Cricetulus griseus: one gene and its partner. The main gene of each other region encodes a partner of the protein of the gene in region 2 in a complex. Links are inferred from orthologs where the notes say so. Each region holds a gene or a part of one and is shown on either strand. Other genes may lie near its edges. The genes, in order: Eif3e and Eif3g.

Region 1 (3,809 bases), on a different chromosome or scaffold from region 2:
GGACAATCTCGGGGCTGGAGACACAGCTCTGCGGGTAAGAGCACTCGTTCCTCTTGCAGAGGATCTCAGTTTGATCCCCAGCAGCCACATGGCAGCTCACAACCATCTCTTAGTACAGTCACAGGGGACGTGAAGCTCTCTTTAGATCTTCTGGGATACCAGGCACACACATGGTGTACCAACATACAAGCAGTCAAACATCATACACATAAAATTTAAAAAAAGACCCTTCACTCCCATCACGAACTAAATTTAAATAGTTACTGCCTATAAACTAAAGAAAGTTATATTGACTTTAACAATGTCTTCATTCTATAGTGCTCTTCCTACAGCAGTGTTTTCTTCTCCACACCCGGATACTTGTTTTATTCCAAATTTTACTTTATTTATAATTATTTTCAGTATGAATGATGGGGATTATCGGTGTGAGTGCAGGGTTGGTTCTCTTATTGTGGGTTCTGGGGAGCAAACTGAGGTCAGGGGGCATTTGCAGCAAATGCTTTCCCATAGGAGCCACCTGTCTGGCCCAACATGAACTCACTGCCCCCCCCCCAGCATTTCTCTATAAACCTCTGCTCAAGACACATTCAAAACCAAAAGCAAAACAGCTACCAAGTTCATGCACAAAAAAAAAAAAAAAATGAGAACCTGCTATCAAAATCTGAAAAACAGCAATTTTAAACAAGAGCTCTTTGCTGTCCAGAATTCCTTACACGTACAGAAGAGGGGGCAGGAGCAATAGTATTTCCTATGCTTTCTTTCTTTCTTTCTTTCTTTCTTTCTTTCTTTTCTTTCTTTTTCTTTTTTTTTTTTTTTTTGAGGCAGAGCTCTGGCAGGCTTAGAACTTGCTGTGTAGATCAGGGTGTCTTCAAGTTCAGAGACTCACCTGCCTGTGCCTCTAGGCCCTATGCTGCTGGGATCAGACACCAAGCCCAGCCCGTATTTCCGGTATTTAAGGAACCATTTTTCTGTTCTTTCTTCCTTAAGAACTGTCTACAGTATTCTCCTCGTAGCTCTCCAACACCACTACAGGGCCTCAGGAGTTTCTGATCAAATAGGTCTGGGTCATGGACCAAAATCTGCATTCTGAAGGAATTCCCCCCAGGTAAGCTGATGATGTGCGGATATACAGAACTGCAGCATTCTCAGAAAACTGTAGGCTGTCAGCCTGTGGCGTAAGTACCACGACGCACACTATGGTCTCAACTGTTAGATCACTATGTTTAAAGTAGACTCGCATCTTTCACTAGGAGAAAACACATCTTGCAACCTGTCTACATGTTTTCACCCAATGGCTGTAAGGACAGCTGACTTTAGCTACAGCTGTCATATATCATAAAACTTTACATACACTTTAGCTACATGATGTGCTTTATTTCTAACCATAAAACTTACCATGAGGGATGTCATCCGAATAAAGGTTTTTGTAGACGTCCATAGCGAAGTCCACCATGTTGGTATCACTAAGAAGATCCAATTTTCCTTGTAATAATTCTTTTTCATTATATATCTGTAAGAGAAAAACTACTTTTAACCAGTATATTTAAGTCCTTCTGTTTATTGAGAAACATACTTCAGGAAACACTATTTAAAAGGTGTGTGTGTGTGTGTGTGTGTGTGTGTGTGTGTGTGTCTGTGTGTCTGTGTAAGGGCTGCTGAGTTGGTTCAGCATATCTTGGGGGGCTGGTGATAAGCAAGTCAGGAGAGCAGCATTCAATCCCTGAAAATTACATACAGATGAGGAAAAGTTGACTTCAGAGTTATCTGTCCCCTGACCTTTGACCTAGAGGTGTGTGTTATGGCAGCCAATCCACTGAGTTTCCCCCCTTACCTCCACTGCCTAGTTTTTAGAAAAGCATCACAGGGCTAGAGATACAGGTCGGTAGTAGAGCACTGGCTTAGGGTACCTAAGGCCTAAGGCCTCCCAGTACACACACACACACACACAGTCATTTTTTGTAAAAAGAAAAGCAACCAATATAGTAAGCACTCAATTTACACAACATATTACCTACCCAAAGATTTGAAAAGGAATGTCATTCTCAATTACTCCCGATCAATGATTGTTTTATCAAGCAACCTTTTATGCTTTCTGAAGAAGTTATGCAATATACAAGAGTACTTATACCTTCTCCTCTGCAAAGCAAGTATCCCTGCCTCCTCCACACCCAGGTAACTAGGAACAGGCTCTTAAACATTTTAGATTCTAGCTTCCCTTTGCGCCCACAAGCCTCGCACCTCTCCTTGATGTGGCCACACCTTTACATTTTTCTCTTTTAATAGCTGCGATCATTCATGTGCTTCTCCACCTGTACCTCTAAAATTAAACCACCACCAATTTTCTAAGTCCGCCTTATACCAGGTTTTTGATTTGCAGAGTGCTTGGGAAACATTGTATTAACTCACAGGGAATAAACACATAATACAGACTCACATAAATATAAAGGCCACTGAGAACATGTAAGAAATCTGAGATACTCAGCCACCTCGGAGAGATATTTAGACTTATGTTTTGAGTCTAGGAAGAGTCCACAACAGTGTACCACAGAATCCAAAGTGAATGTGCCACATTACATATGAAACTCCACTAACAAAAGAAGAAATGACAGATAATCCAAGAGCAAGGGCAATGGCTAGAACATCTTAACCGTCACTTAAGGAGATACAAGGACACGAGCCACATGAGAAGATCTCAACTTCATTAATTGGAAGGGAAGGAAGTGCATATAAAAACTACGATAAAAACAAAGAAAAAGGTCGAGTCGGGGGAAGAATAGAAGAAAACAAGAATGGAGATACCATAATAGAGGGAGACATTTTAGGTTTACAGAGAAATCAGGCACCAGGGAAATGTCTGGAGAGCTACAAAGATGACACCAGCTAACAATCTAAGCAACAGAGGAGAGGCTACCTTAAATGCCCTTCCCTGATAATGAGATTGATGACTGACTTAGATGCCATCCTATAGCCTTCATCCAGCAGCTGGTGGAAGTAGAAGCAGACACCCACAACTAATCACTGAACTGAACTGGAATCCAGATGCAGAGAAGGACGAGTGAAGAGCAAAGGGGTCCAGACCAGGCTGGTGAAACCCACAGAAACAGGTGACCTGAACAACGGGGAGCTCTTGGTCCCCAGACTGATAGCTGGGAAACCAGCATGGGACTGACTGATCCAGACCCCAGGAACATGGGTTTCAGAGAGGAAACCTCAGAATTCTATGGGACCTCCTGTAGTAGTTCAGTACTTATCCCTAGCATAGGTGTGGACTTTGGGAGCCCAGTCCACATAGAGGAATACTCCCTGAGCCAAGACACACGGGGGTGGGCCTAGGCCCTGTCCCAAAGGATATTACAGACTCTGATGACCCCCCCCATGGAAGGCCTCATCCTCCCTGAGGAGCAGAAAGGATATGTGATAGGTAGGTTTGTAGTTGGGGGTGGGGGGTGGTAGGGGAGGAGGGGAGGGAGAGGGATTGAGATGTAAAACAATCTTGTTTCTAATTCAAAAGCAAGCAAACAAACAAAAAAAACAGACAAAACAGAAAACCTAACAGTATCAGTGCTAATAATGGCAAGGCAGCCTGGCTAAAATATTCACACCCTATTGGCAAGAATACAAGCACTTCACACTTTTATCTCCTGAAGTCACAGACTCTGTGAAACACCTAAAACAAAAGCACATCTATTTAAGTTTATTTCTAAGAATGTTCATAGCACACAAGCTGTTCCATGTTATAATAAATGAATAAACAGATACAACACAACAAATTAGCCACCAGCACTGAAAATCAACGATTGGTGTCGTCA
Region 2 (4,556 bases):
CTCCTGGCAGTTTAGGTCCTAGTGGGGAATAGGGAAGAGTGGCTCAGAGCCGGCCGCTGTCCACCCCACCCCCACTGCACTTCTGGGTCTCCAGCTTCACCCTGCTCACCTCTTTGCTAGTGATGAATGTCATGGAGACATCATCGCTGACTGTGGTGGTGGCCACATTGGGCCCCGGTGGGTCAAACTCAGAGTAGCCAAACTTCTTCCAATTCTGGGTTCCCAGAAGAATAGGGAAAAATGGGGACAAAGGCAGTAAGATAGCAGAGTGGGGTACCCCAGACAGACAACCCCGTCAGAGCCTTAAATCCTACATTCTCGTGTCCCCAGAGGCCTCCCATGTGATAATGGTGACAATTCTCATTTCCTAAGCTAGGCTTGGTGGAATGTAACTGTTACCCTGACACTTAAAGGTGGAAACAGAAGATTCCGAGCTCAAGGTCACCCTGAGATACACAAGTTCAAAACCAGCCTGAGCTCTGCTGTATGAGGCCAAAACAAAGGAGTGGGGGAGAAGGGGGGAGGGTGTTGGTGAGGTGGTTCCGTGTGTAAAACCGGTTATTGTACATGAAAGAACCCAAAACTCTCATATAGAAAGTATGAGCCAGGTGGTAGCGGCACACATTTTTAATCCCAGCACTTGGGAGGCAGAGGCAGGCAGATCTATGTGAGTTCAAGGTCAGCCTGGTCTCCAGAGCCAGTGCCAAGACAGCCTCCATAGCTACACAGAGAAACCCTGTCTTGAAAAACAAAAAACAAACAAACCAAAGAGTTAAATATAGCCCAGGGGCAGGGGACCCTATCTAAAGAGAATAAGTTGTAAAGTGACATGACAGAGCAAGTCACCCAATCTCCTCCTCTAGTCTGAGTGTGAATATACAGCCATTCATGACCCCGAGACACACCCACACACCTACCCCCCCCCACACACACCCCATAAGGAGAGAAGCAAAAAAAAAACTCCAGGAAACAGCAAGGAGACTCAGAGTAGAATGGCACACAACTGTGCCACTGAAGTTTCTAGGCAGGTGCAGGGCGGGCTCCCACCAGGGAGGAAGCTGGAGGATGTCCAAGAGTCACTCAGATCACAGGAACCTTAAGCTAGTTAAATGGGACCACAAAGCTCCCTGCCTCCCTAGCCTGATCTAGAGGTTGGGAAGCCATGTCTTGCTAAATGCCTGGCATGGAGCCTTGCTCTCAATGTGTTGATGTCCTTCCTCCAGAAGCCCTTGCCCCTTGCTCAGTAGAGGCTGCTTGTTCCTTCAAGTAGACAGAGCAAAGGAGTAAGAATCTAAGTCAGGACCCAGGAGGCTAGGCAGAAGCATTTAGAATCTGAATACTACACAGCAAGAGCCTCTCAAAAATAACAACAAATGGGGCTGGAGAGATGGCTCAGAGGTTAAGAGCACTGAGTGCTCTTCCAGAGATCTGAGTTCAATTCCCAGGAACCACATAGTGGCTCACAACCATCTGTAATGAGATTTGGTTCCCTCTTCTGACATGCAGGCAGAACACTGTATACATAATAAACAAATAAATCAATCTTTAAAAATAAATAAATTAAGGCTGGGCGTTGGTAGCATACGCCTTTAATCCCAGCACTCAGGAGGCAGAGGCAGGCGGATCTCTGAGTTTGAGGCCAGCCTGGTCTCCAGAGCGAGTGCCAGGATAGGCTCCAAAGCTACACAGAGAAACCCTGTCTCGAAAAACCAAAAAATAAATAAAAATAACAACAAAACAAAAAACTCAAGAGGATGGATATGTCCCAGTTAGCAAATTATTTGTCACAAAAGTACCCATCAAAGTCCAATCCCAAGCACCCACAATGAAAAGCTGGGCACAGAAGCATGTGATTGTTATCTCCAAAGGTAGAGACAACAGGCTCACTGGGGATAGGTGGCCAGCTAGTCAAATCTAATTCCTGATGACAAAAGCCCATCTCAATGCAAGAGGAATTTGCTGGAGGAATGACACTGTACACAGGAGCACACAAAAGGGGGGAAAAAAATCTAACCTCAACTACTCCTGGACCCTGAATTTCCAGGGCCTGACACTAAATTTTTAATTCTACATCAACAGGAAAGGACTTCCCAACTCCTCTGGGCCAGTCCTGGAGACCCCTCCGCATACACACACCAAAGTGAGTCAGATGGGAGGGCCTCACCTTCCTCCTGGCCACAGCCTTCGATGCCTTCCGGGTCTCAATCCTGAAGGTCCTGACAATCTGAAGATGGAAAGGGAGAAAGGACTTCCAGAACCTCAAGGCCTTCCTTCCTCACCAATCCAAACCAACACTCACAGCCCTCATCGCCAATCCAAGCGCCCCCGCGGCCACCTCGGCCTCACCTTGAACTTCTTGCCATCTTCATCTACCTTGTACTCGGTCACAGTCTTTACGTTCCCGTTGATGACTTCCTTGGGAGGTGGCAGTGGCTCTGTGGGAAGACAACAGGAACTGAGTCCTGGATAACGGGGACTTGCTGGGAACGGGCTCGAGGGCCGGAAGGGGGAGGGGACGGCAGGGCTGGACGGGGCTCACCTCCGGGCAGTAGCTCCGGCTCTGGACTGGTGTCCCCGGTGGGCAGAGGGATTCCCTTCAGGAGCTCGCTGGTGACACACTTGTCTGTCAGAGGCAATGCGGGGGCGGCGGGGGGGACGGAAAGTGAAACACACGGCTGGGACGTCCAGGCCAAGGTGTGGGTGGGTTTGGGGACTCCGGGGGCTCGGCCCGCCCCGGGACAGGGCGCGGAGGGCCGCGCACAGGCACTCACACGCACGCACTCACGCACTCACTCACACGCACACGCGCACTCACCGTCCTCGCCCTCCTCTTCCACCTGGTCGGCCCAGCTGGGCTTCGAGCTGCGGAGACACGAGAAGGGTGAGCGGGTCCCGACCCCCGCGCCGCCCGGATCACCACACACCCAGCGCTGCCCCACACCGCCTCTCTGGAGAGCCCGCCACCGCCCCGTCCTCACTCAAAGTCGCCCGTCGGCATCGCGAAGTCTAGCTCCACGCAGCTCCCAGCCCGGGTAGAGAGCGGAAGCCCGGGGAGAACGAGGCTTCCGGTGCCGCCCCTGCAGCCTAGAGCGGCCAGACCGCGGCGAGCACAGCGCCTCCCTATGGACGAAGGCGGACACGCGACTCTCGTGTGCAGCGAAGTACGGGGACCCAAGCTGGAAGGAGGTCCCAGAGAGACCGTCCAGAACTTCTTAAACTCTCCGCACCCACTTAATTTATTGTTTTTTTGGGGGGGAGTGATGGGATTAGAAGTCACTGTATCACTCTGTAGCTAGGATAACCAGCAATTCCCGACAATCCTCCTGCCTCAACCTCCGAAGGGCTGAAATTATAGGCATGAGCACCACGCACTGATGTACCGAAGGCTGGGTTTGCACTCATAGCAATCTCCCCAGTTTATTCTCTTGTGGACTGAGCCCAGGTCTTCAGGCTTGGCAGTCAGCCTTCTTAGCTGCAAAGACATCTTGCAAGTTCTACCGGTGTCATCTTTTTTTTTTCCTCCGTTTTTTATTTGAATTAGAAACAACATTGTCAACAAAACAAAACAAAAATAAAAAACACCAAAAAAGGCCGGGCGTTGGTGACACACGCCTTTAATCCCAGCACTCGGAAGGCAGAGGCACAGATCTCTGAGTTCGAGGTCAGCCTGGTCTCCAGAGCGAATGCCAGGACAGGCTCCAAAGCTACACAGAGAAACCCTGTCTCGAACCCCCCCCCAAAAAAAAGGAAGAAAGCAACAACATTGTTTTACATGTTAATCCCAGTTCCCTCTCCCTCCCCTCCTCCTCTGCCTCCCTCCCCCAAGTAACACCCTACCTATCCCATGCCCTTTCTGCTCCCCAGGGAGGGTGAGGCCTTCCATAGGGGGGGGTCATCAGTTTGTCATATCCTTTGGGATAGGACGTAGGCCCTCCCCCGTGTGTCTAGGCTCAGGGAATATTCCTCTATGTGAAATGGGTTCCTACCAGTGTCATCTTAAACTATTTCCCATACTAAGCTTTTCTCCTTCCTCAGAGCTACACCCCCTAGAACTCTGGTATAATCTTCCTTTACTTGATTCTCAGCCTCTGGGAACATGCATTCCAAGAAGTTCTTTCTTAGTTTGGGTTGCTAGTGCAGATGGAAAGCACACGCTGGGCGCACTTGTGATGACCTATATTTCCAGCACGTAGAATTTGTATTATGGAGCCGTGTGTGTGTGTGTGTGTGTGTGTGTGTGTGTGTGTGTGTATGCGCGCGCGCGCGCGTGCGTGTGCAGGAGTGCATACCTTTAATCCCAGCACTTGTGGAGGCAGAGACAGGTGGGTCTCTGAGTTTGAGACCAACCTGGTCTACAAAGTAAGTGCATGACAGCCAGGGCTACAGAGAAACCCTGTCTTGAAAAACAAAACCAACCAAACAAAAACAAAACAAAAAATTTACTAGAGAAATGCAAAATCCAGACAAATGGCCTTTGCTTTGTTTTTGTTTTTGTTTTGTTTTTTCAAGACAAGGTTTCTCTGTGTAGCTTTGGAGACTCTCCTGGAGCTTGCTCT

Evidence for each region.
Region 1: Eif3g (region 2) and Eif3e share a complex: the UniProt entries of both Homo sapiens proteins name them as parts of the eukaryotic translation initiation factor 3 (eIF-3) complex. The link is inferred for Cricetulus griseus from reciprocal best matches to the Homo sapiens genes EIF3G and EIF3E.

What each region holds. Positions count from the first base shown.
Region 1 is NC_048603.1:9,459,825-9,463,633, reverse strand, and holds part of Eif3e (eukaryotic translation initiation factor 3 subunit E), read right to left. Parts: intron 1,511-3,809; coding exon 1,396-1,510; intron 1-1,395. UniProt on the Homo sapiens protein: Component of the eukaryotic translation initiation factor 3 (eIF-3) complex, which is required for several steps in the initiation of protein synthesis.
Region 2 is NC_048597.1:133,767,981-133,772,536, forward strand, and holds the start of Eif3g (eukaryotic translation initiation factor 3 subunit G), read right to left. Parts: upstream 3,090-4,556; 5' UTR 2,999-3,089; coding exon 2,979-2,998; intron 2,863-2,978; coding exon 2,816-2,862; intron 2,624-2,815; coding exon 2,540-2,623; intron 2,436-2,539; coding exon 2,347-2,435; intron 2,225-2,346; coding exon 2,165-2,224; intron 215-2,164; coding exon 110-214; intron 19-109; coding exon 1-18. UniProt on the Homo sapiens protein: RNA-binding component of the eukaryotic translation initiation factor 3 (eIF-3) complex, which is required for several steps in the initiation of protein synthesis.